7 linked regions of the Coturnix japonica genome follow. The protein of the gene in region 1 interacts with the protein of each later gene in a pairwise test. Links are inferred from orthologs where the notes say so. Each region holds a gene or a part of one and is shown on either strand. Other genes may lie near its edges.

Region 1 (3,500 bases):
CCAGGCAGAAGCCCACAGCAGCCCACTCATGCCCCAGTGGAGCACGCATCTCTTGGGGCCAACTGGAAATCCACTCACAAGCTATGGTCTGTTCAACAAAAGATGATATTTTTAGCCTTAGAAGGACAGATGCAAGGTCAGCGCTGGCCTGCTGAGTTCATAGATCCCCCACATAATGTTGAATTTACCAGTTTTTGTCTAATACATAATGTCAAATGTACCAGTTTTTGTCTAATACCTCGGTATAGGAAGAGAAAATGGGGATCTAAGGGCAGTGTATGAAAAACAAACAGCACAGTCTCACATGGTACCAATTAATCAGATCTCCATGGTAGAGCTAGCAGGTGCTCTGAGCATCACTAAAAATCATATACCAGCAACATGAGATAATTGCTGTCTTACTCATATCTCCTTAAGGAAAGCATTACTTCATTAGTAATGTTTTGCAGACACATGATTAGTTGGGCACTACTACCTCTGGCTAGTGGCTACCAGGAATTGACTGCTCCATGATTAACTCCTGTTGATCCTTACCAAGAGCTGGGATTGAGACTTCACAGAAAATGAAACTAACAACAAAACCAGCTCCATGCCCATCACACTGCTGCCTCACCAACCCCCTTCACCTTCTCTTCCCCTTCTCACCCCAAACCAAGTGAGCAAAAACACACTTCCTAGAGCACAAATGATAAGGAGCACAGTTTTACATTTCAATTGCAGAGTTAGACATGACACTACTGGTGACAGGATCCAGAAAGGCTACCACAAGACCCCCAGATGTCAGCCACCCTGAGGTCCCTTTTCCCAAGGACAGCAGAGCAGATATGGGCTCACCTTACTGGCATTGATCCTCTCAGCAGGACAGGGCTGGGGGCTGCTGCTGTTGTAACTCCATCCTGTCTCCTGCAAGATGTCAGGGGGCTGCTGCCTGGTCTGCCGTGATACCACAAAGTGGACATGCCGCTCACTGGCCTAAGAGAAAGCACAGGGTGAATCCCATCACTCTGCTGCAATGACTCAGAAGAAGCTGAGCAGGGAGGAGTCACCAAACATAGATCCCGTTTAAGCTCAGTTTGGATTTCCCTCCACAGCAGTTGCATTAACACGAAGAAGTAGTACCAGTTCAGGTCATACAAGCTTACTGCCAACTACCTAAAACTTGAAAATTTAGTGTTAATGCTCAAAAAAATCTTTCTGTCTGCCCTAAATCTGGCCGCAAGTAATGACCTGACCTATGGTAATGCAATCGCTGTTCACTTCTTGCGTTCTCCTGCACGCAGCAGAGCAGACCAGCAATGTGCCTGCTGCAAGAGAGACACACCACAATTAGTGCTGTAACAAGGAGTATACTGCAGCTCAGGCTGGTGAGGGTGGAGAATAACAGCATTACAGAGCCCACCTGTGTATAACAAACACAGCAGACGTAAGGTAGCTTGAAAAAAGGGATGAGTCACCACTTGGAGAGATAAAATCCTAGTGTGCCGGTACACAGAGAATAAAAAGGCACAAGCAAGTACATAGAGTAACAGCACTTGGGTTGGGAAACCAGCTCAAACTCTCACTCTAGGAACAGGAGGTATAAAAGCAATTAACCCAAAATAAGCTCAGAACGCTTCTGCACAACAGTCATGTTCCCTGCAGAGTCTCATTGTTTTCAGGTGCTCCATGTTTACCTGGTATTGGCTTTACTGATTCTGTGTACAGGTGATTCTTTTCTATCATTGACCCAGCTGAAGGGAAGCATAGGAATAGCCTGAAAGCTATAGGAATATACCCAGAATACAAAAGAAATCTGTCCTCTCTCTAGATTAAAGACCTGTAGGAGCAGGTCTTAGAAGCTGGTTCTAGAGGGAGTCCTATCTGCTTGTGTGTGGGTCATTATGAAGGATCTAATTTGGAAACCCCATCAAGCATCTCTGGAGCTCCCGGGGTGCCACATTTCCAGTGCTTGCTACCTCCTGCTCTTGGGGTGGAGCACCCAGAAGTAGGCTTCTGTCTCTTGGGAGAAAGGAAAGCACCCCAAGACCTCTAGTTTGTAGGATGCTCCAATTGTAGCTGAACATCATGCTACCAAATCTCCTATGGGCATATGACCCCACAAAAATACTGTTTTCTTTAAAACAAACAACTTCAGTTTATGCAGCTTCTGTTTAAAGCTCATCTGCTGCCACATGGTTCGTCTCAAAGTTGGTTATTTAGAGGAAGGTTGTAAACGTGACTAATTCTCTGAGGACCAACTGACAGAAGTTCAACAAGAGTATTGCAATGTCACGTTTGTCTCCAGGTCAGTCAAGATGAGTAATTTCTCAGAAGTCCAGACCAGAGTGTTCTGAAGAGTTATCCAAACAAGATGATTAGCTTTTGTATTTACATACTTCCATACACAAACCCAGAACCGTTTCTACTGATCAGAATATTAATTGCTGTTTCATCTTGATCTCTCCCTCCCTCCTTCCCCTTTACTGCTTGGTTTACCCAGTTCCTTCTCTGCTCTTCACACTAAAGCAAGAATTAAAGTAATAAGGTTTGCTTTGAGTCTGAATACAAGTAACAATGGAAATAATCTACTAGAATTAAAATCTGCGTTATGGTCAAAGCAAATCAAAGACAGACTGGGGAATGCTCTGCAAAGCTTTGGCCTATAATCCTCTAAGGGTCACTTCTGTGTTGGGTTGATTCTGCTTCTGCTTTTGGCAGGTATTTCCCTGGGATAGGGAAAGCAGCCTGAAACACCTCCAGTTACCTGTGCTGTGTGACACCCAGTGCTGCTGGAGGTGCAGTGTTCAAACACAACAGCAGCCAAAAGGGGCTGCAAAGAAACACCTCTGCACAAAGATGGCTGCATCCAAGCTGGCAGGGAGGCAGGGACGCAGTGACAACTTCCAAGCAGTCACTTGGAAACAAGGCAGCCATGCAGCCTGGCCCAACCGAGCAGATAGGGCTGATGTCCTCACACAACTGCCCACTCTTCTGGCACCTTGGTCATTTTCATGTCGCACCCACATGAAACAGATGTGGGACATCACGTTATTTAGATCAAAAAGTGCCACATCTGACACAAGACTGTGACTAAAGATGATGTGGTAAACAGAGAGCAGCAAGATCCCAAGAGTTACGATGTGCGTACATTCTTAATTAGCAGGTACATGTTATCTTCATTTCAGTTCTCGTGACTGACCTTCTAAACAGGCTGACACCTAATCTCCTGATTAACAACCGCTTTGCATATGCTGATGTATAATCACTACAGGCCTGAAGAATCAGATTTTTCCCAATTATTCATTATTTAGCAGTCAAAACTAATCAGACTCTGCAGAACCCAGAAGTTCTCCCAGCTGTACTTGGCATAATAAACCACTACCATCTTTTATCATATCAGTGAACGTTCATTCTGATTTCAAAGGAGCCAATCACATCTTAGAAGCATGTAGCACTGTTAATTTGAAGACCTTAATGTGCAGAGTGACACACTCTGAGATCTCAACTGACAGGGTTCTGTC
Region 2 (3,415 bases), on another chromosome or scaffold:
GACGGACACGGACAGACACAGACACACACGGACACACACGGACACACACGGACACACACGGATAGACACCGACAGACACACGGACACAACCGACACGCGGTTCCCGCAGCTCCGGCCGCCGCCGCCCCGGAGCCCAACGGCCGCGCTGGGGCTGCCGGCCCCGGGCTGAGTCAGTGCCGCCAACCGAGCGCCCGGCAGCGCCAAGTGCGGACACGGCCGCAGCCCCGCCGTCTCGTACCGTACCGATCCCGCCCCGCCCGGTCCCGCCGCTCTCACCCATCGCGGATCCCGACACGGACGTTCCGGCGGCGGCCACAATATGGCGGCGGCAGCGGGAGGGCGGGGAGCGGCGGACGGCGGCCGAGAGGGACCGCGGCGGGACGAGAGCGGAGAGCAACGCCCCGAACGGGGTCACGGGGCGGGGCCGGGCTTCAACTCGCGGCCGCGGGTCCCGCGTGGATCCTCGTGTCCCGCCACGTGCCCACGCGCCGACACGACCCCCCCCATTGCACCCCCCAGCCCCGAGCTCCGTCCCGGGCCGAGCTGAGCCGGGAGCGGCGGCCCCGGGAGCCCACGGGACGCGTTGGGCCGCACGGCCGGACACACAAGGAGCAGCAGGCGGGGATCGCGTTAGGATGGGCCTTTCTTTACAAAGTGCATAAACATCACGGGCCGCTCAGGTGCTGCGGGGCCGGCAGTTCCCTCCCATGGCGATGAACACGTTGATGGGGATGTGCGGCAGCGTCAGGCGGTGGTTGGCGGGACAGCGCCGCAACTGCCTGCGGGGAGACAGGGGTCAGAGGGACGGCACAGCACGGCACAGTACGGCATAGTACAGTACAGTACAGCACAGTACAGCACAGCACAGTACAGCACAGTACAGTACAGCACAGTACAGCACAACCTGCAGCATCACAGGAGCCCCTTTGGACCCTCACCTGCCCGCAGTCCACGCTGTGCCCACCCGTTGCTGTGTCTCCAAAGCTGCGGCCGCACTACAACAGTCGCCCGCCTCGATGGGGAACCTCCGGGCCCGCGGCGCTTCCTGGGAGCTCATGGCCCGGCCCGGTTTTCTCTGCACAGGGAGAAGCAGCTGGGAGCTGCAGCGGGGCCTGGCTGCGATCCCGGCACCGGCACCTTCCTGCTGTGAAGGAGCCCGGCCTGGTTGGGCTGCAGGCGCCGGAGCAGCTGGACACACTCAGCTCAGACGTGAGGCCGCGGTGGGTCGGTGTGAGCACAGCTCTGAGCTCATGGGCGCAGCCTGGGGTCCCCTCCCTGCAGCAGCAAAGTGTTGTGTGAGCAGCAGCTCCTAAAGCCCCCCCGCCACACCCCGATGAAAACGGGAGAGGAACAGAATGGACCCTGTGACCCCCCTGTACTCACGGTGCCCACCGAGCAGGTCCTGCCCAGCACAGCCCAATTCCCCCCTGCCTGGCCGAGCTGTCGCCCACTTTGATGCACCTCCGTCATCTGGGATTCATGCAGCATCGGCTGCATCACAATAACACGCCCATGCTACAACAGGCGCCTCGATGCCCCTTCCCACCAGGGCAGGAGCAGGGCCTGGTGGCTCTACACGTGCCAACAGGGAGCACGGGGAGCCCCTGGCTGCTGCGATGCTGTTGTCGAGTTGCTGGGGGTAAAACTGAGATTGAACGGCCCCGATTTGTGAGAGGACATGGAGGAGTTTTTGCTCGCCAGCGGATACCAGCTCGGCCAAACCATTGGGGAGGGAACGTACTCCAAGGTGAAGGAGGCCTTTTCCCAAAAGCACCAGAAGAAAGTAGCAATTAAAATCATTGATAAAAGGGCGAGTCCAGAAGGTAAGAAGTTGCCCCTGAAGAGCTCCCAGGTACCGACCCCTCCTTGGAAGCTTTTAGTTCCAGGCAGAAAATGAGTTTCCCAAACTTTCCACCCAAGAGCAGGAAGGGCAGGGAGGTGCTGGGGGCAGGGAGGTGCTGGGGGCAGCTCGGAGCAGCCAGGCCATGGGGTGTCCATCCGGCTCCTCCAGCCATAAGGTGGCCAAAAGCAGCACAGCTCAGACCCCTCCGACAAGGGCCCTGCTTGGAGCCAGGCACCCTGGCACAACCCTTCTTCCTTCCCACTTTGTGGCCGCAGCCCGGTGCGATGCCGGGGCTCAGCAGCTCAGGAACTGAGTGAATTTTCCCCCTCTTGGCAGAGTTCATTCAGAAGTTCCTGCCCCGGGAGCTCCAAATCATCGAGCGCCTGGACCACAAGAACATCATCCACGTGTACGAGGTGCTGGAGTCGGCGGAGGGGAATATCTGCCTCGTGATGGAGCTGGCCGAGAACGGGGACATCTTCGACTACGTGGCACACAGGGGTCCCCTGCCCGAGCCCTGCGCCAGGGAGCTGTTCTGCCAGCTGGTGGAGGCGCTGCGCTACTGCCACGGCTGCGGGGTGGCTCATCGCGACCTCAAATGCGAGAACGCGCTGCTGCAGGGACACACCGTGAAGCTGACGGACTTCAGCTTCGCCAAGCAGCTCCCCGTGGGCAGCCGAGAGCTGAGCAGAACCTTCTGCGGCAGCGTGGCCTACGCGGCCCCCGAGGTGCTGCAGGGGGTGCCCCACGACAGCTGCAAGGGCGACATCTGGAGCCTGGGCGTCATCCTCTACGTCCTGCTGTGCGCCCACCTGCCCTTCGACGACACCAACATCCCGCAGATGCTGTGCCAGCAGCAGAAAGGCGTCTCCCTGCCCAGGCACCTGGAGGTCTCCAGGCCGTGCCAGGACCTCCTGAAGAGGCTCCTGGAGCCAGACATGGTGCTGCGGCCGTCGGTGGAGCGGCTCAGCAGACACCCCTGGTTGGCCGGACCCTGAGGAGCGCTCGGCTGCTCCCCCCCGGGGACAGATTGCTTCGAGGATGCCAATAAATTTGGATGTGTTTCCCACGTGTTCGGCCTCACGTGTGCTGCCAAGGCAGAGCTGAGGGCTGCTTCACTTTAGGCCATTTTTACCTGCCCCCTCCCAACCCCCGGCCTTCAGCAGGGAACAGAACAGACCAAGCAGCCCCATGTTCCCACCCCCTGTAGGCAAACTTCCCTTGGGATGAGGGGGAGGAAAGCAGAAACATAAAGCAGTTGATCCCCTTGAGGCAGCTGCCCCCAGCCCAGGGCAGGGGAAAAGGAAGGAGGACACAGTGGTGAGTGCGGAATTCCTTTAATTGCTGTTAACTGCAAGTCTGTAAAAGGTTTGGAGAAAGTTACAAAACTACAGATGTTAGAATTGTTCCTGGTTTTCCACCCCAGCTACAAAAGGCTCCGGAATAAACAGAGAATATTGCACAGACAACCAGACGGTCAGTGGGACTAAAGAAAAACAGGAGACATGAGAGCAGCGCGGCCCAGAGCTCCACATCCAGCCTGGGTCACCCTGAGCCCAGGGAGCGCAGTGC
Region 3 (3,500 bases), on another chromosome or scaffold:
GGCAAGACTACTACCAAAATTTCACTGCTTTTGGGGGGGGGGGGGATGGACGGGACGGGACAGTTCTGGCTATGAACCAGTACATAACTGTGCTTTCTTACTGTGTCCTAAAACAGGAGTAAACACCTTCTTAATTCACAGGAATTGGATTATCTTATTTCAACAGTACCCAAAAACATTAACACAAGCCAAATGTTCAGGCAGCAACAGTAACACCACCAGAAATGGATACTAAGTTTTAGCAGGTAGGCTGTGCACAAACATCCAGATTATTTTCCAGTACAACTCTGGCAGCAAGATCCAAAAATAAACTCCTACAGGTAAAAAGTCAGCTTTTCTCCATCACCATCAAGATACAATCCCAGATGCAACCCATGGTTGCATTAGTTTAAATATGCTCTGAACAAACAGTTCTCTTACCTGTGGCACCTGTTCAATATCTCGTAGAAATATTTGCTGGTTCCTGGAGACAGATGTGGATCTGTGATAATCTACCAGCTCGTTCAAAGAATTGAACTTCACCACCCAGAGGAAATACTTGCCAGCCCCATCTCTAAGCACCTTGAAGTGCTGCACATCATTTCCAAACCTGTGGGAAATGAGCAAACAATACAGAGAAGAACACAGTCACTGAGCACTCTTCTAGGATTGTGAGACTTTACAACACAAAAATCATTCGGGACATAGCTGGTGACAATGATTGCAGGTATCAATTGGCTGCTGTGAAGCAGACCCTTGAAAACATACAAAAAGTGCTGGGAAAAGAACTGCCACAAGTACGGCAGGACTGTCTCTAAGCATGGAGTTACAAAAAAAAAATGATGTATTGCAAAACAGACAGACTTTTCCACTTCTATATTTTGACATGTGATGGCATTCAACTTTTATTCTACGTAAAGTGCAACTCCAAAGTTTTTCCAGATGAACAGCACGTTAGCATTTTTACTTTATTCTGAAACAAAAACACTGAAAATGGGTGAGGAGTACATTCTCCACCTGGCATCAAGAGCTTAAAGTGCAGGCATAGTCTTGGCTACAACGTTAACATGAAACAATCAGTGAGTACTGCCTTTGCTGTTTCCTCTTCAACCTGAGAGATTCTCATCATTTCAAATCTTGCAAATCACTGTTTGGGGGTGAGTGGAAGAAAGCTTTTTCTAAATTAATCCACCAGGAAAAAAAAAAACCAAACTACCACCAGGTGGCAACACTAAGCTGACAAGATAAGCAGAGCTACAGTCAAAACCAAGTTTCATGAAGGAAGTTGATGTCTGCAATGGAGCTCCCATTCGTATCTTGTATTCCAGCTCAGATTATTGTACCCAGCAGAACTATAAACACCTTTCTAAAAAGAGTGGTTTTAATTCAGTTTGTTGGCTGGATCAAGACTGGTGTACAGGATGACAAAATCTGGGTACAGCCCAAAGATGAGCCAAAAATACAGCAAACAAGGAACTGTGCGTGAATAATCAATATAAGATACTAAAGAAAACCCTGTTCATTTCTGGAAGGAAAGGGGAAGGTTACAGAAAGTTAAGAAAGATAAAAATCAGCTGCTGAGGATGGAATTCCTTCCTTCCTATGCTACCTTACATCCCATACTCTTCCAACTTTTTAATACTTCAATTTATGGCGGCTTATACAGAGCTGTGAGATGGTTAAACATGGCTCACATGTTAACTATCAGAAATTGCTGCTGATTAAAAGTTAGCATTTCTAGAAATGTTATACAAGGATGGGAACTGTTCCTGCCTACCTTCAATGTTACTAGACAGAAAGAAATTCCTCTATATTGAAATTCCATTAATGGAATGCATTTGAGAAATGGAAAAGAATTTGTTTTCATTAGCTCCATGTCCCAGTGCTGGCTAAGATGAATATCCCCAAAGCATGTGCCAAGCAGTCATGAAAAATATTTGGAAGTGTATTATCCAAAGACAGAAGAGAATAATGACTTGTTCTATGGAAGAGGAACAAAGGAGGATGGAAAGCAGTATGTACAAACTGGGCAGTTCATAGTTGGAGGAAGGAGAAATGGGATCCACAAATTAACAAATAGTGCCTGAAAACACTTAAGTCAGACAGCAACACACCACCAAGTCAGCCATGTAGGCTCATTACAAAACAGAGCTTATCTGTACTTCCTCTTTAATAAAGACAAAAATACATTATCACCAGAAGAATAGGTATGCTATCTTGATTATTGCCGCTCCTCAGCACTGATAATCACTTATCTATCCAGGAGTCAAAATGAGCATCAAGTGCCCTGATTTCCACACGATTATTTCTGGGCACTACTTACTTGACCGAGAGAGAGAAGTCCCCAGGAGCACTCTCGCTCTCCCTGATAAGGAAGGCACCATCGTGTCTCTGTTTGCCTAACATCTCTTCAGCCTTCGCTCGGGGAATCTTTCCGAAGAACCACCTGTGGAGTAAGCAAGAAGAAAACAGAGAAAGTTAAGGAGTTGAACTGTCTTATGGAAGAGCCCAACACAGGTATCCCCACGGAGATCAGATGAATTCTAGCAGAAATGACTGAACTGCATCTATTTATTGTTAATCTACTACAGGCTACCAAACTATGCAACTTCTCACATTTTGTCCTAGCAGTGAAGCTACCATGATTTCATGAGCACATGCTCACAATAGCCCTATTTCATCTAATTTAGGGAAGCAGAAATGCAGTAAGAGTGAAATCCTTAACATATAAAGGCATTTTCAATTACTTTCCTTCTAAATTCTCTTGAAAAAATACTTACACCTCCTTCCAACAACACTGACACCAGCTCTAAGAAAAGGAATGCTCTCTTTCTTACACCTGGTCAGCTGGCTGAAGTTTGTTTTTGTATGCCCTGCTGGACTACTTAGAGAGCTCTTCATTATTGCTCAGTAAACACGATAGTATACAAACTTTTTGTAATTTCCTCAGGTTGCTAATGCACTAATGAAGACTTCCAGCACTGCTGACACATGATCCAGATGCCATCAGCAGTTTAAATGTCTTCAGAAAAGGTCAATTTATCTATGCTTAAAACCAACCAAACACAGGCACTACCACCAAGGCTCTACTTACGGATGTGGTTTCATTTCTATGTAGTTCTTGGGAATGAAGCCATCTTTTCCATTGAGTTCTGCCTTGTACCAATTCTGATCACATTCTTCATTCAAAACCTGAAGGAAACAAAAAAATAAGCTTACTACATTTCAAGTTCCAGCAAAACAGACGAAGACACAAGCTTATTCTTTCCACTTGTGTCTCAAAGATTGTTCATATAAGACGAGCCCTTAAAAACACATAGTCAGCCATCCCAATCCATCACATTTTATCAGCCTTCAAAACAAGGTGGATCAATAATTTATAATAAACTCCATGCATTAATACACAAATCATTATTTCAAATCATACTCTCTCTAGAAGTTTTGTTGCTTTATTTTTCATTGCTTTTCTGCCAAGCGGTGCAGTGCAACAGACAAGGCAGGTACACTGACTAAAAACAGCC
Region 4 (3,500 bases), on another chromosome or scaffold:
TATTCAGCATCTATACATATACAGTAAGTATAAAAAATATGTATAGCTACTTTAAGAATGAAGTGATACTTCTGATAAAAATCACTCTTCTGCAAATCTTTCCATTTCAAAGAAGGATGGCTTGTACAAATACTACTGCTATTCAAGAATTCAATACTACTGCTATTAAGAATTCAGTTCTGAAATCAAAAGAGCTTCATCTCTCCCCAGAAATCTGATTTTTGTTACAATTAGGTACTATGCAGATACCAAATGACGATAAGACAGCCTTTCACTGGAGAACTCCTGAAACAATGCTGCACAGGAAGATTAATACTTCTGTAAATTCAAAGATCTCAATTATCCTTGGAACATTCTCCTTCCCTTAAACTTCTGCAAAGAAAATACAGAAGTTTTCCTTTACATGCCATTTATGAACCACTAAACTGAGAAATCTGTGGCACTATACAAACATTTTGTCTAGCTACTGTTTTATAATAGGATCTGAAATTTAAATCACAACTGCCCCTTTAAGATCATTCTCTAAATAGCATGAGAAACCAGCTGGCAGAAGATGAGGAATAACTGGAAGACTGAATCAACAGAACTGTTTCAAGAACTGCATATAAGAAGTGTCTGAAATATATATTCCATTGTAAAACCAATGCCCAAGATCCAACAAAGTCACAAAGTCACACTACCACAAGGAAGAGGCAATAAGTATTGCTCTGATAACTACTGAACAGAAATCCAGAATGAATTCTGGGTAGATTAGAATCAAGCACAACACCTACAAGTCTAGCAATCGAAAATGCTATTGACCATAAAGTCTGACAAGAACAAAGCGACTGAGTAATTTAAAGGAAAGGAAGAGAACATACCAAAAGACAGATAAGAGTCAAGGCAACTCGATGAGCACAGCCAAAAAAAACCAAACCCAAAACATCAAATGCTTTTATATCTTACTTTCAGTCATTCTGAAAAAGTTATACTGCTGCAGGTGTTGAAGGCTCACCTTCAGTGTAAAAGTGATTGACCGTGATCTAGAAAGAGTAAAGTGGCCCATAGTATTTTACCATACTCAGCTGAAAGGATATTTCATATTTTACACTTTACCACCATCTGTGATTGCATATTCAGATCTGATCTGGAAATTGAAAAACTTCCATAAATCAGGATCAGTATATAAGAATGCATAGTCAGCTGGCACTGTTCAGAACAAAAACTGAAATCATATTCTGAAATCAGGTCTTCTTTCTGGAAGAAAACTGATAGTTTGCCTAGAAGCCACAGCAGATCATACAGGAAATAAAATCAAATAGCATTTGGCAGCAGTTAGCCCAATATTTATTACTTCTAGAAGGGACAAAGCCAGTCCCTATAACTTCACAGGGATAATGCTGCAAGCAGTTGGGGAACAAGAGATTATGGCTTTTAGAACAACCGCGATAAGATTACATTTGAAAAGCCAAAGGGAAATTAAGTCGTGATCTCATATTTCACAAGAGATCATGCAGTTCTGCTCAGTACAATCAAGGCAATGATCAAAATGTGAGTAGAAATGTCTAATCAATAAAAAGAATTGTTCATTATCAGTCTAATTTTGCTGGTTTAATGTTAATAAGGACTATAATTTGCTAAGTATGTTCATTATGACATAAGGTAAATTAAGATCAATGAAGAAATGAGATTTGCACAGGAGTCAGACATAGACTCTGAATTCAAAAGGCGTTTCTTATCAAATCATGGGCATTTTCATCTAAAAACAGCTGTTTGCCCACAAAAGCAGACAAGCTCCTTATATCTTACTGAGAAGACACTTAAGCCTCCACACAAATTTGAATCATGTAAATATAGTAACCTGCTACATTAAAACGACTCAGCATTCCTACAAATGTTCTGCTGGTTTTCCCTTACATCATCAGTTTGTTTGTCTGAACAGAAGTATATGAAAAGAGGTAAAAATATATGTAAAAAAATCTACTTGGAACTCTTATACATATTTTTGTTATTTATATATATATATATACATAGTATATATATATGTATATATATAGTAGCGTTCTCAGGTCCAGTTGCTTCACTCTAGAGCAGAACTTGCAGCTCCACTCAGGCTGTAGTGGCCATACAGAACAGGCATCAAACTGGTTCTTCACTACACTGACTAAACACAAATATCTGTACTACTGTCACTCCCAGACATGCACTTTTGAAAAGTCTTCTTACCTAAATCTCCCACATTTCAAAGATCTTATACTATTCAGGAACAAAATTTAGCAACCTTATCAGCACCATATAAAAAGAGAAGTGAAATCAATACACCTTGAACAAATATAGAAACCAAAGCATGCTCATTCAATAAAACTGATTTCTCTGAATTCTGTGTAGCAACTTCCTACACAGAAGAATTGCCTTGTACATTAAAAACTATTTTCCTGGGATTATCAAGATATGAGAATAATAACTTCAATGAACATCAAGATGAATTACCTTATGAACTGATTATTCTGCACCATTTTATTACTTTGATCAAAGTCAAAGAAGGAAATATAGAAATAAATACTAACAGGGATGAGAAACTTCTTGATTTCTTCTAACGCATGCCCCATTCTGGCATATGCTTCTGCTGGTGGAGCAAAAACTTCAATTAAAACATGAAGGTCATCATTTAGGTGGAAGTATTTTGCCTCTCCGCTTTTTCTCAATTCCTCCTCCTAAAAAGAACAGAAAAAGGTGGGTTTTCTATTTTTTTTTTTTTTTTTACTTTATCATTTTAAACATTTTAATGTAGGTGTTAGATTTTCTTTGGATGCATTTATGCTTACTGTCCACGTTTAGACAGCAGCAGCTAAAAAGCCTAGAATTTTATACTTTTCTGACACACTTCAAACAAACTTGTTGCTAAATGTCAGAATGTTATCAATTTGCTTATCAACACTAGAAGCCTAGTAACTCAGAAAAGGACTCAGCAGCTCCTTCTCATATACAAGAATGTTAATACAAGGCAGAAAGCTTTCAGTTTTCCCCAAGTGCGCCAGTTTTATGTGGGAAACAAAAAGAGAAATAAATAAGATAAAATGGAAAGCTTCTTTTCTCAAAGGTAACATCTTTAGAAATAGGTTTGTTCCACTATTCCACAATAGCAAGATCTTTGCCAGTATTATTTCCATCTCTTAGTTTTAATGCACTCCTCAAATGCTGCTCATTTATTTTCCATTCTCACTGAGATGGTGTGATCAATGAGTTTCCAAAGAATAAATGGGAAGTGTGGCCAAAAGGCTGAAGGAAGCGATTCTGCCCCTTTTCTTCCTGCAGTTATGAGATCCTAACTGCAATATTCTCTCCAGCGCCGGCTCCCAAGCATAAGAACATGAACTTTGAGCAATCTGGTTTAGTGCAAGGTGTTCCAATAGGGTAGGAACTAGATATGTAAAGGTCCCTTCCTACCGCTTTGAGCACTGCTTAGACAGCAATGACTAAATTGCTTGTTTTGGTACCTGCATTACTGTCAGATAGAAAAG
Region 5 (3,937 bases), on another chromosome or scaffold:
GAAGTTATGGGCTCTCCCTCTCTAGATGTTGGTGCTACACTAAAATCTGTCTGTAATTAATTAGATGTAGGTAATTACACCTGAGACTGAGGTAGTGGACACACATAATTTCACATGCAACATAATAGGTAATGCCATTACAGCCCAGACTAAACTACAAAGCCAAGAGTTCCCCGAAACAGGAAATGAAAGCAGATCACCTCCCCTATAAGCAGCTGGCCTAACCACCCAGCTGTGCTACATCACTTGTAGCTAAAGAGAGAGCAGTTATTCTCTCCCTCTTCACCAGTCTACAGAACAGTGGAGAGCCCATGCAAAGCAGAAGAGCCTCGACAGCAACTCAGAAGCACATCCTGGAAGGGCACAGGGCTACATGAGCAGCTTCTAGCAGCTTCAGGAATTAGAATATGGGCCTCTCTCAAGTAAATACTCAATCTGGTCATCTCTAGCTGCTATTAGACAGTAAGGAATGAACCCACTCTTCCTGTCTTTTATCATTCCAGAGCTATAGACACTGATGCACCACAGTTTTTGATTAACAACCCCCGATCAGCCCTGGTATTTTCTGTATATCTCCAAATGCTGGAACACAGACACAGCTGGAAAGACAAGACTAAGGAAAAGGCCAAGATTCTCTCTCTGAAAAGGGCTTAAAGAGGGGGAAAACAGTGCAGATGTGGATTACTCTGGAAATCAAATTAGGCCTGTTAGTTATGTGGGATCTATGCTGGTACTCCTTTATGGGTTAATGAAGATCATTGAAAGAAAGAAGCAGAGGGAAAAGGAAGTGATCCTGATCCAAAGAAACCTCACTGTAAGAAATCTCATCTGTACAAAGTCATCACTTGGAAAAACAGTTTAAAGACCAGGATAAGCTCTTTAGATAAGACCCAAAGAGGGATTTGTGAATCACAACACACAAGCTCTATGTATTCTGACATCCTCTGGAGCTCACTGTGCTGAGCACCAAGCCCCTCTCTGAGCCCTATGCTATGGGCTGCACGCTGCTTGGTTAGGACTCAGGTTACTTCAGATATACAAACTAATGCAAAACTAAATGCCACGAGACTGTAAGTATTGACATAATTTAAGTCTCAGTGTCTATTTGGGGGCTAAACCCACTGAATAAGGTTGCCCATCAACAGGGAAAAGTACATCTGACAAGTAAGTTTATTAAACCCCAACTGTTACACTGCTACCCGAGACCATCTGATTCATTGCTCCCCTTAGCAGGTACATAATGCATCCCACACATCTCCCATGCAGGAATCCTTTGAGAAGTTGGCATTACTTCCATGTAGGAAATGCACATTTTCATTCATGGCTTCCGAGCTGCAGCAGACAGGAGCAGTGCCAGACATGGGAGTCATTCATTCATGGGACAGTCAGCAAACATACTTCTGCATATTGATAAGGGCACTCAATTACGGTGCTTCAAGATAATTTTCCTATTTTTGAGCACGCATGAGAGGCAGATAAATTGGGTGCAGGTTTCTGTGTCTGTTTTAATAATGGGCTCATACAACCAGAAAAACTAAAAAGCACAAAGCTGATTTTACTCTATGCATAGAGATCACAAGCGCTTACAAAAGTGGTGTTCAGCCTCAGTTCATGCAGAGTAAAACAATCAAAAAGAGGAAAACAGACACACCAAACCTACCCCCAATGAATGTATCAGCTGTCATACAGAACTGCAGCAAGGAAGTATTTAGGGGTTGGAAGCAACCGCACTACAGTGTATGTACACACTGCACCAGTCACCTCTGCAAAAGGCACCTATTAAAATGGCAACTTATTATTAACCAGATCCATTCCCTGGATATTTTCCACGTCAAAAGCTTCTGAAGCAAACAGGTTGGAACAGCTAGGAACATTCCCTGCGCTGTTTTGGATACAGAAATGTTATCACGATGAACATCAAGAAACTGAACTTCAGGCTAAACTGCACTGGAGACAGAAAGAACCCACGGAGCACACACACACACACGGAGTATGAAAAGATAGGGAAACCACACTGAATATTCACCTTTACAAACGTACTCTGCAAATTAACCAATACTGGCTTTATCCGCTCAGTTCTCTGAGAAGCACCTCTGTCTTTAACCGGCCGAAGCTATTAGTGAGCAGATCACACCGACAGCCACCAGCCCCGCTGTCATTTAGCTGCTAAACAAACGCCGAAAGCAAATACTGGCTGCACCTCGGCCGGGAGACGGAGGGGAAAAGTTCAAACGTGTGTGTGCCGTGCAATTATTGCGCTGTGAAATCACGGAGCAGCCGTAGAGCCCAGCGAGCTCACGGGATTCCTTCACTCGTGCGGTTTCCGTCGCGGAGCAGCACAGCGCGGCCCCCGCCCCGCCAGCACCGAGCGCTGCCAGGGCCGGCACGGGGCGCTGAGGGCAGGGGCAGCGATGCGGCACGGGAAGGGCGAGGGGCACTGCACGGCCGACAAGAAGGAAGGGGCCCCCAGCTCGGCCCCTCCGCCTCCTTCCCCGCTCCGCAGGGCCGGGCCCGGGTCAGCGACACGCGGGGAAGCCCGGCCCAACCCCGGCTGCGCCTCGGCGGGCGGGGCCCGCGGGAAGAGCCAGGGAGTCCTCTCGGCACAGGGCCGGGGGGCTCGGCTCAGATCGGGGAGCTCCGGCTCCGGCCCCGCCGCCCGCACCGCCCTCCTCGCGGCCTCCCTCACCGTCTCTCTCCCGGTCAGGCTCCAGCGGGACGGGGCGCGGCGCTCGCGAGCCGCGCAGCCACCTCCGCCGCCGCCTGCAGCTCCTCCGGCGCGCAGGGCCGCCACAGCCACAATGGCCTCCCGGTGCTCCGCGCAGGCCGCGCCAGGCCTCAGCGCGCTGACGGACAGCAACTCTGACCAATCGCGAGCCCATACCGCGATGCTCAGCCAATGGCAGGCTGGAGGCGGGACAGAGCTGGCGCTATATAAGGCAGGGCAGCGGGGAAGGACCGCAGTGGGAGCGGGCAGGCTCAACCAATCCAGGCGCGGTCTCGGCCCTCCGGCGTGATGTCATCACCACACGTCAGCTTGTCACCGCGCTTCTGACGTCACCACAGGGCAGCGGTGGCACCAAAGTGGGACTGTAGGTGGGACTGTCTCTCCAGCACAGCAAAACAGGAGCATTTATTCAAATACACCCATAGTGCTCTTTACCAAACATACGTGCCACACGTGTGTTTTCTTATATGGTGATGTTCAGTTCTTGACATAACACAACAGCCCTCCTCCTTCTGGTGTCAGAGCATTGGTGCATACAAATGACTAAGGGGAAGGAAAAGAAAAGCCCCAAGACAAGAAGAATCTGTATAATATTTTCTTTAATTGCATATTAATTACATTGTACACACTTCAATCATAAGCACCTTTTGGAAGGTACCCTTATTTTGGCAGTTCCCTTATTTAATTGCCCTGTACAAAGCAGGCAATGAGATACAAAACGCTGCTGGGCCTTCTCATGGTGTTACAGCTGAAAGCAGGAGGAGGAGCTAAAACACAGCTGAGAATTGACAGCCACAGGAACTCTTTGCAAAAGGTGGTGAAATACAAACCAGGTGTAAACCATAGGAGAGGGGGGTAGGAAGATGGGAGGAAGAGAAGAACCTATTTCCAGTTTGAGGATGTAGTAGAAAAACCCCTATAAAACTGTACACAAACTTGCCATGAGCGCTGAGCATGTCAGCTCATTATTACCAATGCTATCGATAAGCAACATACTAAAAAAATAACTTAAGAAAAGCTATACAGTTGTACTTATAAATACTTTATCTTTAAAACTAGTTAAGTAGTGTAGGCTAAAAAAAAAACGTTCACAGTTACTCTGAAGAGAGCTGTATATATATATATATTGCACAGTAGAAAAGTTCATTCAGTATATCATGTGTAAACAATGATTTTTATCTTATCCTTTGGCAATTTTGGGACTTAGAAACA
Region 6 (3,500 bases), on another chromosome or scaffold:
TTAATTGAATTATATCTCAACAGAAGATAGAAAGAAAAGTACTCAGTTGATGCTTTTCTTGTCAAGTTATTAAAAATAAGTCACGTTTGGCCAGACTTTGAAAAGGGAACAGGCATAAATAGTTCAGATGTTAATTGATTTTGACACCAGGGAATGTCGGTGTTTTTAATTCCATAGGTGCACTGAGATCCAGGTGAAGCACAGGTGGAAGGAAATAATACAGATTTAATGGAACATTTTGATGGGTATTTCTTCCTGTGTTTTCTTCTTTTTTAATAGCTATTACAGCACCACCACGCAGTTCATGAGATATCGTACATTGCAAAGGATATCACAGACCACCGAGCGTTCGGGTATGTGTGTGGAAAGGAGGGAAATCATCGATTTGTGGCAATAAAAACAGCCCAGGCAGTAAGTATCAAATCATTGTCATTTTCTTCATCGTAGTTCATAGAGTCATATCACAGGATCATAAAATGGTCTGGGTTGAAAAGGACCACAGTGATCATCTCGTTTCAGCCCCCTGCTATGTGCACCAACCTCCAGACCAGGCTGCCCAGAGCCACATCCAGCCTGGCCTTGAATGCCTGCAGGGATGGGGCATCCACAGCCTCCTTGGGCAACCTGTTCCAGTGTGAAAAGCTTCCTCCTAATATCTAACCTAAACCTCCCCTGTCTCAGTTTAAAACCATTCCCCCTTGTCCTGCCACTACCCACCGTTGTAAACAGCCATTCCCCCTCCTATTTATACGCTCCCTGCAACTACTGGAAGGCCACAATGAGGTCCCCCAGTAGCCTTCTCTAAGCACAGCAAGGCCAGTTCCCTCAACCTTTCTTCATAGGAGAGATGCTCCAGCCCTCTGATCATCTTAGTGGCCTCCTCTAGACCTGTTCCAAGAGCTCGGTTTAAGGGCTGTGTTCATAACAAGCTGTTCAGGAGGCCCATCTTGTATTCTTTCTGTGTTTGGGGTTTGTTTAAATGTTCTTAAATGGCAAATTAATGAAATCATCTTGGGGGAAAAAAAGGAAGAAAAAAAGAAAAAAGAAAGAAAAATGGAATATACTTCACTATTTACAATTATTCTTGATGTGATTTTTTTCCTACTATTTGGTTACTATTTTACTTTCCTCCATAGAAACCTTTCACAATCCTCTTGTTTCCATAGGCTGAACCTGTGATTCTGGACTTGCGAGATCTGTTTCAGCTCATCTATGAACTGAAACAAAGGGAAGAAATGGAAAAAAAGGCACAAAAGGACAAGCAGTGTGAACAGGCAGTATACCAGGTACATGCATAAGCTTAGACTACTGCCAAGGAAAAGGCAGTTTGAAGTATCCCCCAGAATTGCTCCAAAGAGGCACTAACAGCTATTGTGAGCTCAGAAGTAGGATTAAAAGGTGATGAAAGAGGTCACCTGGGGTAAGATGAGCGTGATTGGCAGCTTGAAATGTCCTGCTCCTTTCCAAGACAGAGTTACTTCTAGTTGAAGGGGAAAGCTTTAATGAAGGCCACTGTGTTGCAAGTTGGGTTTTTAACAGCGTCTTGTAGGGGTGATTCATTAAACTTCTGAATGTGTGCATTTGAGTCAAATCAAATAAGGTGCAGGTTGCTAAACTCTCATGAAACAAGAATAGTGTTACTTTGTAGAATAACTTGACTTTATCTGCATAATAAAGAAAGAGAATTATATACTTACCTGCACGTTTTGCTTAGTTCTTTGCTGTCCTTTAGTTTCTGAATGCAGTTCTTTTATCTCTGCTGTTTATGTTCTTTGCTTTTACTGCCTGTCCTCTTACTTTGCTGTAGACAATTTTGGAAGAAGATGTAGAAGACCCTGTATACCAGGTAATTTCTGAAGCTGCACGGCCTGGGAGTTTCAGAAATGACTTAGATAGATGTTATCTTCAAACACAGCCAGAGCCTTTCACAAAGTGTTTTGAAATGTATTGAGATAGATCTCATGAGAGACTTCACTTTACAGCAAGTAGCACGTTCAGGAATTAAGCTGTAATAGCACAGCATTTCTGCATAGAAATATTAGATTGAATATATCTTAAAATATACTTTCTGAGTTGAGATTTGAAGTTTCCCACTGAGATTTGTCATTATTTCCTTATTTTATTCTTTTTTAAGACGCAATCTAACAGAAAAGGGAGCTACTTTGAAAATAAGGAAGATGACACCTTGTTTTTATAGCAATAAATTGATGTCTTGTTGTTGGCTTCGATGCAGCCAGAATTTCATTCAGAGGGCGAATATTTGTTAAAAAGAAACACGGAGGAATTAATGTTATAATGTACTCCCTTGTTGGCATTTTGGGTTATGATTTAATAATACATCTGTAGTTTAAGTCCTGTTCCATCCAAGCAAAATGCCTGGGAGTAAAGATAATGATCAGAAATATGTCAATATATTCATGTCTAATATCTTGCTGAGTCTGAAGAAGAAAAAGATGTAATTTCATTCTCGTGTTTTTGTGCTGAGATTTGTGTTTTGTGGAGATTTTGTGTTCTTCCACTTAAAAATACCAGTTGGAGGCACACTGAAAGAAACCAATTCAAGCATTAGTGACTATTGAGCACTGTCTAAGGTGTTTCAAGGAAGATGAGAGGAATTAGGATGCCCTAAATTAAATTCAGCTTTTGTAATGTCAGGAGTTTTACTTTGTATGGTGGTTCCTCACAATAAAACAAGAACCTGAAGATGAAATGCACTGTGGCTGCCTTTCACTGTGTGGTATGTTGCACAAGCTCCAGCCTGTTCACCCAGTTTGCATTTAGCTTTTTTATTCATAGATAATAAATACGTGTGGAAATAATTGCCATTATATAAAGGAGGCAAAATGCACGATGACTTCAGAAAATTAATATCAGACCACAGGCGGTATCCCTAGTGAGAAAGAATTAGGAAGCTGCTCTAATGATCATTAGAGGAGATTTAGGTCTATTCTCTGCCGGTTTATGAAATATGAAACAACCTTACTCTGTGCTTTCCAACAAACCAGTTGTCTGGTTCCATCCAGCCTTTACTTTGAACTTGTTTCTTTAATGCCTGCCTGTGTTTTTATGTGGAATTCCAAATTGCCTTTTTCCCTCTGTTTCATCTTTGACTTTTCCTCTCTGGCTGCTGGTGTAATAGTACATTGTGTTTGAGGCTGGACATGAACCAATCCGTGAGCCTGAAACAGAAGAAAACATTTATCAGGTATAAAATCACTGCTTCCGTGTTTTCATTGCAACAATTGCAAGCATTTAGTAAAACACATTTCATATATAATTCGCTTTTATTCGTTTTCATGCATCACAAACAGTGTCTGACATTTCATTCTTACGACCTTACATGATTAATCTGCCAGTCTCTGTGTATTTATTTGTTTGTCTGTTCAGCTTCTGCAGGTTTTATGAACTTTTATCTGTAAGTTTAGCCAAATTGTGAAGGGTTGAGCACACCATATAAAGTGATCATTGGTAGATCCTCTTTTCTCCTTTTAATTCTTCGA
Region 7 (3,989 bases), on another chromosome or scaffold:
ATGCTACTGGAGTGCCAGGGGACTGAGCTGACATTCTCCCAAGCCTTTCTTTGCTTTTCCCACTACATTTCTTGCTGCTCCTGCTCCCTGTCCAACATGGACATCTCCAAACAGATTTCAACAAAGAAACAGGTCCCTGTTCTTTGTATCTATGCCCTTTAAATGCATGGAGTTCCACTAGGTTGGTGGACATAGGACTCGTCTAAACTAATTCAAACCCCTGGGCCAAAGCCAGGACAGAGCAGAGCCCTGCAATGACTTGGTTAGAACAGACATTTTCCCTCAGTTCTCTCAACCACTCTACAACAAGACAACCCCACCTCTGTGCCAGTGCATCCCGCAGTCCCTTACCAGACAGTGTCAGTCTCCAGGAACTTCACAGCTGCACGGATCAGCTGCACCTTGTTTCGCTGAGTGGGATTGTCCAGAGCTGTGTTGCACAGTGTGGTCTGCAGGATAAAGGCAACTGAAATCACTGTTATCTAAAGCTCAAGGAAGCAGCAGTTTCCAGTGTACTAGGTCAAGATAAGCAGAAGAATTTGGGACAGACTGCAAGAATCAAGGAGCTTACTTAAGAGGGAAACATAGAGTCAGAACATGGCTCATATAATAGAGTCTATCCAACCTGTTCATACCCCTTGCTATCCCCAGAAATGCTCTCCATCCCCTTCTCAAACTCCCCAGTGACACGGGTTTCCCTCCCAGTCCTGTAGCCAGCATCCAGCTGCCTGCTCAGCCTTAAGTTATCCACAGTACTCAGCCAAGGCACTGAACTCCTGTTCCCACTTCAATTGACATTAGGACAGCCTGGTCTCTCTCTGTGTTCTGCCTCTGGAGACCATTTTTGTGCTTCAGCACTCTGACCTGCTGTGCTCACCAGGTGCATAGTGTAGAACTTGATGGTGTCTTTCTGAGAGTCCCATTCTGTTGCCACTGCAATGGCCAAGGCCTCACTGGGGACAGTGAAGAGCTTGGCCTGGGGTGTTTTCAGCTTCCGGTGGTCCAGGTTGATTTCAAAGCCTCCTGGGGAATCAGAGTAGAAATCCTGGGGAATTAAAGAGGAGCAGGCACTAAGGAACAACAGACTACCCCATAGAGGGAACAAGCTCAGAGCTGGAGCTGAAGGGAGCAAGGAATCAGCAATTTTCCCACCAACATCAATGTTTTGACATTGCTCTTCCCCAGATGATGCTGGAAACTTTCCCACCACATGGTTTTACTATGGATGAGGACAAGGGCAGAGCATGTGGGTGACAGACAGCCCAGCTCACAACAGGGGCTGCAGACACAGCACTGCCTTGTGATGGTAACCCCCGTGTGAGTACCAGCCCTCGCCTGCCCCAGCAGCTCCACTCACCTTCTCCTTGTGAGATGCTCACGTTCTGGTAAAACCGCTTCCTCTCTGGGGGGTTGAAAACAGAGCAATTGAAAGGGTGGCAAGGGGAGGTTTGTCAGAACACAGGGAGCCCTCAGAGCTGCTGCAGCCCACAGAACAGCCACAAAATCCCACTCATTCAAGCCCCTCTCCATTCCAGTGAGTTCTATTCAACCTGGGAGGTGTCACAATACTGGTGACATCCACAGCAATGCCCCAGATCTCCTGACCACCCATAGGAGCAGATTTCTTGCAGACACCACTTGGAGGAACCATGAACCCTATGTGCAGCAGCAACTGGATCATGTGTCAGACACGTTGCACGTGGCAGCTGAGTCACTGGGGAGGAACCACTGTCCTCAGCTCACCGCAGCCCACACGTCTCACCCAGAAGATTCCCTTGACAATTACAACCAGCTCGTAAATGCTGAGCCCATTGAATCCACCTCCTGGCTGTCACTGAACTGTGCCCTGCCAACACGGGCCCAGCAGAGAGAAGGATGGGGATCCACTCAGCCTCCTACAAGCTTCAGGGCCTCAGGAAATGCTGCAGTGCTGGAGCACAGCTCTGGGAGGATTCAGGCACCTCAGCGTGTTCCCATTGGCCTCATGATACTCAATGAAACCCTGACTCCCATCCTCGTGTTTCCAGCAATATCTGTAGAGGGGCTGCACAGCCCAGCACGTGCCTGGGAGGGGCTGGTGGAGCTCCCCGCCATCCCACCCGCAACCAAAGGGAACCTTCAAACCCACTGATGGAAAAGCAGCGCAGTGACGCCCCACCACCTCCTTACCCACCTCGGAGCCCATTTTCCCTCTTCCTCCTTTCTTCAGCCCATTCTGAAGGCCGGAACCCAACCCCTCCCCCAGCCAGCAAGAGCTGACCTTGAGGAGGGGGCTCCCACTAATCCCCCCCCACACACACACACACCGACACCCCCCGCGTTCCCCCGCTCTCACACGGGGCTCCGGGCTCCTCCCCGCGGGGCCCACAGCTCCTCACCTGCGGGAGGGGCGTATGTTCGACTCCCACCCGGACACAGCGGGCGGCTCCGGGCTGCCACAGCCGGGATGCGGCCCAGGGCCTGCAGGAGGCGGCACATGGCGGCGGAGGAGCCGAAGAGAACGATGAGGAGCCGAGAGGAACGATGAGGGGCGGCGAACGGAGCTGGAGCGTTGCGGCCTACCCCGGCTCGGAGCGGCCTCCCCCGGCTCAGCTTGTCGCCCCGGGCGCCGCCATGTTGCCCCGCTCCGCCCAATGGGAGCACAGAACGCGCTTTGCCCCTTCGGCCTTCCCGTCGCGTGAGGCGCGAGGCGAACAAACTACATTTCCCAGCAGCCTCCTCACCGTAAAACCTGCCGGGAAGGAGAGCTCTCCGCCAATCGGAGCTCCGCCCCGCCTTCTCGCCGCTTCGCGAGGGCCAATGGGAGAGCGCGGGGGCGTTGCCGGGAGGCCCCGAGCCAGGCGGCGGCGGCGGCGGCCTGGGCGTGAGGGGAGCGGAGCGGAGCGCGGCCCCGGTGGCGGCCGCTGAGCCCCGGCCACGCTGGCGCCCGGGGACCCCCCCGAGATGCCGGTGCGCAGCGAGCGGGGCCGAGCGGGCGGAGCGGCGGGACCGGCATCATCGGCTCCGTCCGGAGCGGCCGCCAGCAGTTTGGTGCCGCCGCCTCCCATCAACACGGCGCAGCCCGGAGTGGCCACATCCCTGCTGTACAGCGGGGCCAAGTTCCGCGGGCAGCAGCGCAGTAAAGGCAACGCGTACGAGGTGGAGGTCGTCATGCAGGTGAGGGACCGTGTCCGGCGCCCACAGGGCCCCGCTGGGCCTCAGGCCTTCCCTGCTTCCCTCCCTTCCTTCCCTTCCTTCCCCTCTGCTCCCCGCTGTCCGGGTTCCCCTCGCCTTGATTCCGCCCGGCCCCGATCCCCCCCATCTCCATAAGCTCCTCCCTGCAGCCCCGGCCCTTCCTGCAGCCCCCACCCGGCTCTCACTGCCCCTCACTGCTCCATCCCCTCAGGGCTGATGGGACCCGGGGTCCTTCCTCTCTTTTCCTCTCACACTTTTGCCCCTTTTCTCCTTGTGGCTGCTGAGATACTTAACAGCAGCTCTCAGAATCACAGAATGACCCGGGTTGGAAGGGACCTCAAGGATCATGTAGTTCCAACCCCCTGCCTGGCAGGGCCACCAAACATACACATTTATTACATCAGGTTGCCCAGGAGACCCCATAGATCCCCATAGAGACCCCATAGATCAGGTTGCCCATGGCCCCGTCCAACCAGGCCTTGAACACCTCCAAGGACGGGGCATCCACAACCTCCCTGGGCAGCCTGTTCCAGGGCCTAACCACTCTCCTAGTGAAGAACTTCCCCCTGACATCCAACTTAAATCTTCCCTCTTTTAACTTAAAACCATTTCCCCATGTCCTGCTATTGCCAGCAGGACTCTCCTTCTCGTTCCCCTCAGGCCTGGGGTGCCCGTGTGCCTCTGGGCTGCCATGAGGAAGGGTGGGATCCTGCCTCGTGTTGGGAGGTGCCCAGGAAGTCCCGAGCAGTGGGACAGCCTGTATTTCAGGCCTGGCTGGAACTCAGCAGGGATCCAGGTCCCTGTGCTGGGCTTTG

Evidence for each region.
Region 2: the proteins of LNX1 (region 1) and TSSK3 interact in binary tests that used the Homo sapiens proteins (3 or more experiments, as listed by UniProt). The link is inferred for Coturnix japonica from reciprocal best matches to the Homo sapiens genes LNX1 and TSSK3.
Region 3: the proteins of LNX1 (region 1) and GRB2 interact in binary tests that used the Homo sapiens proteins (3 or more experiments, as listed by UniProt). The link is inferred for Coturnix japonica from reciprocal best matches to the Homo sapiens genes LNX1 and GRB2.
Region 4: the proteins of LNX1 (region 1) and KHDRBS3 interact in a two-hybrid assay, tested with the Homo sapiens proteins (2 studies listed by BioGRID and IntAct). The link is inferred for Coturnix japonica from reciprocal best matches to the Homo sapiens genes LNX1 and KHDRBS3.
Region 5: the proteins of LNX1 (region 1) and MAPK9 interact in binary tests that used the Homo sapiens proteins (3 or more experiments, as listed by UniProt). The link is inferred for Coturnix japonica from reciprocal best matches to the Homo sapiens genes LNX1 and MAPK9.
Region 6: the proteins of LNX1 (region 1) and DAB1 interact in binary tests that used the Homo sapiens proteins (3 or more experiments, as listed by UniProt). The link is inferred for Coturnix japonica from reciprocal best matches to the Homo sapiens genes LNX1 and DAB1.
Region 7: the proteins of LNX1 (region 1) and ATPAF2 interact in binary tests that used the Homo sapiens proteins (3 or more experiments, as listed by UniProt). The two-hybrid records come from large-scale screens. The link is inferred for Coturnix japonica from reciprocal best matches to the Homo sapiens genes LNX1 and ATPAF2.

The regions. Positions count from the first base shown.
Region 1 is NC_029519.1:59,301,542-59,305,041, reverse strand, and holds part of LNX1 (E3 ubiquitin-protein ligase LNX), read right to left. Parts: intron 973-3,500; coding exon 835-972; intron 1-834.
Region 2 is NC_029538.1:4,558,913-4,562,327, forward strand, and holds TSSK3 (testis-specific serine/threonine-protein kinase 3), read left to right. Parts: upstream 1-1,370; 5' UTR 1,371-1,383; coding exon of another isoform or gene 1,384-1,419; 5' UTR 1,420-1,420; coding exon of another isoform or gene 1,421-1,470; 5' UTR 1,471-1,586; coding exon of another isoform or gene 1,587-1,678; coding exon 1,679-1,823; intron 1,824-2,179; coding exon 2,180-2,841; 3' UTR 2,842-2,915; downstream 2,916-3,415. UniProt on the Homo sapiens protein: Serine/threonine protein kinase required for spermatid development and male fertility.
Region 3 is NC_029533.1:9,398,553-9,402,052, forward strand, and holds part of GRB2 (growth factor receptor-bound protein 2), read right to left. Parts: intron 3,172-3,500; coding exon 3,074-3,171; intron 2,426-3,073; coding exon 2,303-2,425; intron 590-2,302; coding exon 421-589; intron 1-420. UniProt on the Homo sapiens protein: Non-enzymatic adapter protein that plays a pivotal role in precisely regulated signaling cascades from cell surface receptors to cellular responses, including signaling transduction and gene expression.
Region 4 is NC_029517.1:129,027,221-129,030,720, reverse strand, and holds part of KHDRBS3 (KH domain-containing, RNA-binding, signal transduction-associated protein 3), read right to left. Parts: intron 2,694-3,500; coding exon 2,547-2,693; intron 1-2,546. UniProt on the Homo sapiens protein: RNA-binding protein that plays a role in the regulation of alternative splicing and influences mRNA splice site selection and exon inclusion. Binds preferentially to the 5'-[AU]UAAA-3' motif in vitro.
Region 5 is NC_029528.1:4,157,953-4,161,889, forward strand, and holds the start of MAPK9 (mitogen-activated protein kinase 9), read right to left. Parts: upstream 2,801-3,937; 5' UTR 2,687-2,800; intron 2,452-2,686; exon of another isoform or gene 2,027-2,451; intron 1-2,026. UniProt on the Homo sapiens protein: Serine/threonine-protein kinase involved in various processes such as cell proliferation, differentiation, migration, transformation and programmed cell death.
Region 6 is NC_029523.1:23,150,053-23,153,552, reverse strand, and holds part of DAB1 (disabled homolog 1), read left to right. Parts: intron 1-279; coding exon 280-411; intron 412-1,166; coding exon 1,167-1,286; intron 1,287-1,807; coding exon 1,808-1,846; intron 1,847-3,139; coding exon 3,140-3,205; intron 3,206-3,500. UniProt on the Homo sapiens protein: Signaling adapter of the reelin-mediated signaling pathway, which regulates the migration and differentiation of postmitotic neurons during brain development.
Region 7 is NC_029529.1:5,012,479-5,016,467, forward strand, and holds the start of ATPAF2 (ATP synthase mitochondrial F1 complex assembly factor 2), read right to left. Parts: upstream 2,801-3,989; 5' UTR 2,479-2,800; coding exon 2,379-2,478; intron 2,007-2,378; exon of another isoform or gene 1,682-2,006; coding exon of another isoform or gene 1,606-1,681; intron 1,403-1,605; coding exon 1,358-1,402; intron 1,024-1,357; coding exon 878-1,023; intron 450-877; coding exon 352-449; intron 1-351. Other genes in the region: GID4 (glucose-induced degradation protein 4 homolog), read left to right, coding at 2,944-3,156. UniProt on the Homo sapiens protein: Plays a role in the assembly of the F1 component of the mitochondrial ATP synthase (ATPase).